Linked DNA regions of Kluyveromyces lactis. The protein of the gene in region 2 interacts with the protein of the main gene of each other region in a pairwise test. Links are inferred from orthologs where the notes say so. Each region holds a gene or a part of one and is shown on either strand. Other genes may lie near its edges.

What was found.
Region 1: the proteins of RRD1 (region 2) and SIT4 interact in binary tests that used the Saccharomyces cerevisiae proteins (3 or more experiments, as listed by UniProt). The link is inferred for Kluyveromyces lactis from reciprocal best matches to the Saccharomyces cerevisiae genes RRD1 and SIT4.

The regions. Positions count from the first base shown.
Region 1 is NC_006040.1:313,682-316,482, forward strand, and holds SIT4 (type 2A-related serine/threonine-protein phosphatase SIT4), read right to left. Parts: upstream 1,492-2,801; coding exon 562-1,491; downstream 1-561. Other genes in the region: THP1 (Thp1p), read right to left, coding at 2,165-2,801. UniProt on the Saccharomyces cerevisiae protein: Involved in the dephosphorylation of the large subunit of RNA polymerase II. Is required in late G1 for normal G1 cyclin expression, bud initiation and expression of certain genes that are periodically expressed during late G1.
Region 2 is NC_006037.1:37,487-40,443, forward strand, and holds RRD1 (peptidylprolyl isomerase RRD1), read left to right. Parts: upstream 1-1,279; coding exon 1,280-2,341; downstream 2,342-2,957. Other genes in the region: IMP21 (Imp21p), read right to left, coding at 1-715; phosphoenolpyruvate carboxykinase PCK1, read right to left, coding at 2,844-2,957. UniProt on the Saccharomyces cerevisiae protein: PPIases accelerate the folding of proteins. It catalyzes the cis-trans isomerization of proline imidic peptide bonds in oligopeptides.

The sequences.
Region 1 (2,801 bases), on a different chromosome or scaffold from region 2:
GTTTTGTTGGTATCACATCATTTATGAAAGTTATAAGTGCAATCATATGGCTACATTTTTTGTATAAAATGCTCTTGAAATTTTAAATATTTCAATGCAGCTTTGGAGCTGAAGAGATACTGGTAAGAAAAAAAAAAACCTATTCTACACACGATATTCTATATATGATTCCATATCAAATTGAATATATTCGATGATCTAGTTTGGATTAGATCAGGACTCTGTGAAGCCTCGTGAAAGACATAATGGCAGTTTAAACGTTATCATTAATACATATATCTATATATATTACCGGGTTTTAGACTATTTAAGTTTCAGGGGGGTTGGTTTCTCAGTAATGATTTCAACCCATTAAAAATTACGTTGTTTATAGTCCACTTTCCAATTAAATCCTAATTCCTGATGGATATCTTTGAATTCGTAAAAGTTAGGTAAATGTTTGATTTCTAGTGTACAGTATATTAAGAAGGAATTCTCAAATAGAAGGAGAAAAAGAATGTTTAGTCCGATGTAAGTTCGCATAGAAGATTATACAGACAAAAAGGCCGCTGCAATGTCGCTCTATAAGAAATATCCACCTCTTTGGTTATTATTGTTTGTTTCTTGGATGTAATCGTCAGGTACAGCGGAAAAAATTTTGAATGTTGGATCTAAATCATCTTCGACTTTCATGACACTCGCCACATTACCACATCGATAACAATAATTAGGTGCAGACCATACCGTTACAACATCCTTCTCCGGAAAATGGTATTTGAATCCTTCCATAACTAGCTGGTGAGCTCTTGCGATTAGGCTTAGGCCATTCACATGATTAAATTCTCGTGAGACTTTGCTACCGAACAACCATCCGGCACCACGAGGTGAGACTTGCCATGCTTCCACGTTGTCGGGGTCACTCCATAACAAATCGGAGAAGCCACCTTCATGAGGAACTTCTTGGGCTCTCGATAGAACTCTGATCTGATCAAGCATTCTAATCTCGGGAGACAAACCACCATGCACACATAAAATTTTCCCGTCAATAATAGCTGCCAAAGTTAAGAAATCAAACACTTGACAACAATACTTCCAAACCGTTGTGGAACCATACTTATTTAAACATTCCTCATAAAACCCATAAACTTGTGTAATTTGCCTCGACTCATGATTTCCTCTAACCAAAGTAATTCTGGAAGGATATTTCACTTTCAAACACATAAGAAGTGTGAACGTCTCCAAACTGTAATAACCACGATCTACATAGTCACCAAGAAAAATATAGTTTACTTGATCAGGAAACCCACCAGCAGTTCTGAATAGTTCTAAAAGGTCATGAAATTGTCCGTGAATATCACCACAAACAGTCACCGGCGATTGAACCGGCTGAATATTCGATTCTTCCATTAAGAGTTCCTTCATCATCTCGCATAGCTGTTTCATCTCAGACTCCGTCAAAGCCTGACATTTCTTGATCTTCTCAAGCCACAAATCTGGCCCATTATCTGACATTGTGATATTTTAGCACTCCGGAGACAAAACGCTCTATAGATAGATGAACTTATGCAATGGCAAATTAACCTTTACAAGGGAAGATAAAGTTCAAAGGTCAATAAAAAAAATAATAATTATAATAAAACCCAGTCCTTACCTGTGAAAAAATTGGGATAAATTCCTTCTGAATTTCTTGTAAAGTGATTATGATTAGCGTTCTTGTAAATAAAAACCACAACAAGCTTAAAACCTGTGTTTGGAAGTATTTCTTGCACCTTTTCTTTTCAACAAGAAACACTCACTCACTATAGGAAAATTCAATAGCTCAAACAAAGAACAGCCCTATATCACTACTCTTTGTTGATGGCTAAAAGCTTGTTAACAAAGTAGTTAGCTATAAGGATGTTTCCTTCTCTCTTTGTTTTCTGTTGTAATCATCAGTCCTTTTACAAAAATAATGGAAACTTCAACAAAATTTCAACTTCTCTTCAATTTCTTACTTTTTTTTGCAGAATGTGACCTGGAAGACAAACAGATATATGTGAGAGCATTCTTATATCTATATAGACATGTCTGTAAAAATTGAGTCTTCCAAAAGTGTTTCACGACTGGGTATGATAGTGGGACCCGAATCAGGTTAGGAGGGGCTGTGTCATCTATTTTTACATACTATATGTATATTATCTATCATTTACTTATCGAGCCAGGAATCTTCCTGGTTCAACGAAAATCTAGAGACGATCTTTTCATTGATATTAGGGAAGATTACTGAGATATCGTTAGTCTTCATCGTAACGCACACTTGCAGGCTTGGAAACACATTTCCCTTCCACAATTGTTGAATTGAAAGTGTGACAAGGATATTTTCAAGTGATTCTGCGGTGTAATTGTCTTTATATATCGATGGCATTTCAGGTGGATATAAACCGATGGATTTTGCTAGAATTGGTCTTATCACAGAGTATGGTAGTTTATTTGAATTGCGCGGTATACAGTAGTATAGGAAAATAGATCGCAAAAGGGATCTGAACGTTATAATGGGTAGCTTTTCCAATAGAACAATCAACAATTTAGATGATTTCAGCCACGATTCGTTCTCGTAAAGCCAGAAGTTTACTCTGTTCAAGTTTCCGTTTTTAACGGCAATCACAAGAGCTGTGTATTTCTGTGCTAGGATAGGGTCCCATTGAGATAACTTGTTGAAATCTGGCAACTTGCTGATAATGATACCACATGGAACTAAAAACTTCAACAATCTTCTCCTGTTGTTCTGTTTCGCAATAGAGTCGGGTAATGTGGCTAGGAGTTCGTAACATTGGTTCAACTGA
Region 2 (2,957 bases):
AGTAAACTAAGGCGTATATTTTCTCAGCAAAAGATTCATCCATTTGATCCAAGTAAACAACGAACGAGTGGCCTTTCTCGCTCGTTGCGGCGGTAATATTGTCTCCTTTGCTCATATGATAGACAGCTCTATGTATTCCGTGTTGAATTTCTTCCAATTTGATATCTCTTTTGTCTGCTTCTGTTTTAATCTCAGCATTCTTCGCTAGCCATGGCTTCATAGAGTCGAGTACTTGGGTAATTGGTGTAACAAAGTTCGGTAAAACTTTACAACCTAAATCATAATCAATGTGTTCATCAATTTCTATTTCATTCTCTACATCACTCACTTGTTCCTCCTCACTGACCTCACCATCGTCTTCTCTATCTTCTATGAATTCCTCTTCATCTTCATCTTCATCCTCGTCACCACCATTTTCTTGTCCTGGAGATACGCTATCTCTAGTGTTTCCTTTTTTGGCCTTCAAATGTAACCTTTCTGAAGGGTCCTTATTCAATATTGTCCACTTCAGGTAGGCTTGGTCCTTTATACTTACTCGACTCGCAGACCTTGATATCGATCTGCTTGATGATATGCCGGTATCTCTTGTCTTACTCCGGGACCTACCTCTTTGCTCTGGTTCCTCTATCTTTATAGTTGGAAACGCTGGAGGCGCAGCCAGATGCTTATCATCAGTTAGTTTCTTATTCAAAATACCTCTTCCAGGTTCTTCCATGTCTAAATATGTTCAATGGCTCACTTGTAGTATACTTTGTCTGCGACCGGAGATTGAAGCTAAGTTGATAGTTATTTCAATGATGTTGGATTAAATATTCGTCCTGTGAATTCAGTAGAATAGTATTAGCTGTGATACAAAAAGTTAAAATTATTTCACAGGTACAAGCTAGTGTCGCGGATAAAGAAAGTAAATGTGTGACTGGTGACTTGTATTAGGAATCTTTTCTCTGGTGTGAAAACATAGCAGTATAATCGTTTTTCAAGGTTATTTTGGCTTTTTATTTTTATCATATGTTTTCATATCACTTCACAATTTCAGTGCCTGTACTGCGAACGCTTAAAAAAAGTTAGAATTCTACAGACTGAAATGCTAAGAAAGGATATGAAATAGCAGTTTCTCTTGTAACTTTTGGGGAGGCGATCTTGAAAACTAATACCTTCCTTGTAGGACGTATCAAATATTGCATTCTAATTATTCTCCCGCACATATTTCAAGCTGCAAATATTAAATCGAGAGTTGTTATGATATAACGGTGATAAATAAGGGATAAGAAACTAAGAGATGGACTTTGATTATGAGAACGCCAAGTTCTCAATGCCAGAGAAAAGAATATTCGATAGTCAGGGTACCCTTGACTTCCAGAATTCAGTCGCAATGGTTAGAATACAATATCACTTGCAGAAGTATATTACGCTTTGTAAGGGCCAGCAGATACCAGATACAATCAAAGAAAGTTTTTTCACTAATATCGTAGTGGAACTACTCAAAAGGCTGTCTGCCTTGATAGACGAGACACCTCCTGAGAGAATGCATAGTAGATATGGAAACCTTTCATACAGAGATTGGCAAACGAAGTTTCAAAACCAATTGGAGAATTGGTTGCATGAGTTATTGCCCGAAAAGTACAACAACAGCATCATAGAACTTTCATATTACATATCTAATGCATTTGGATCGAAGGAAAGAATTGACTATGGAACTGGTCATGAATTGTCCTTTTTAGCTGTGATAATTTGTTTGGATATGCTAAAAATTGAAACAATAAAGGGGCCGGCGCTACTTTATTGTTTCAATTCATATTACGACGTGATTCAGAAACTAATCTTAACCTATAAATTGGAACCTGCTGGGTCTCATGGCGTTTGGGGGCTAGATGATCATTTTCATTTCTCATACATTTTAGGAGCCACTCAATTGTTAGATGTGAATACTTCTTTAATACCAAAGGATATTTCTAATACTAGATTGATGGAACAAAACAGCTCTAGCAATCTATTTTGCAAATCAATACGATTCATTAATGTCGTAAAATCGGGCCCATTTTCCAATCATTCTCCTCTACTCTACAACATATCAAGGAGTGTTCATACATGGCACAAGATGCAACAGGGTTTGATTAAAATGTACAAGGTAGAAGTTTTAAATAAGTTTCCAGTCGTGCAGCACTTTTGGTTCGGAACCGCATTTTTCCCATGGACGAGTTATGGTAACAATCACTCTTTGCCAATATATCAGCCTGCAGAAAATAACGACGATGCTGATTTTTTGACTGCAAACAATGCTACTACGAAAATGCCTCCACCTTTGAGTACAAGCACATCTAGGTTTATACACAGACGTTAACACAGCATATATGGGATGAGATTAAAGATCTATTTAACCTGCTTTTATTCTTCGCTTAAGGATGATATTAATGATTTAATTCCTCCCATAAATAAATAGTATATCCAGATTAAAAGATACTAAAGCGTATGTATGTACTATAACCATATTGATAAAGGCTGTTAGTGATAAATTAAAAAGGACGAAAGTAATAGAAAAACGAATGAGAAAAACCCCAAGATATCTGTAGAATTTTCTTGTTATATATGTAGTCGAGAAAAAGATAGTTTCTAAATGCAAGAATCAAATAATCCGAGCCAATGGTATGTGTATTATTGTTAGTTGGTTTTTTATGAATCTCAGAATTTTATATTAATAATAATGAACCGGCTACGGTTGAGATAGTCTGGTTGAAGGTAACGGAAAAAGTGAAACTATGTTGAAGAGAAAATATTACTCAATAATATTTCACTCTGCCTCTTTTCGTTATTTTGGTATAGCACTTCTGTTGAGGACATTGTGATTATAATTGCGGACCAGCAGCTAAGACTTGTTCGGTAGCCTTATCTTGGTAGGTCTTGAAGTTTTCTACAAACAAATTAGCCAATGACTTGACATTTGAAGTGTACTTAGCTTC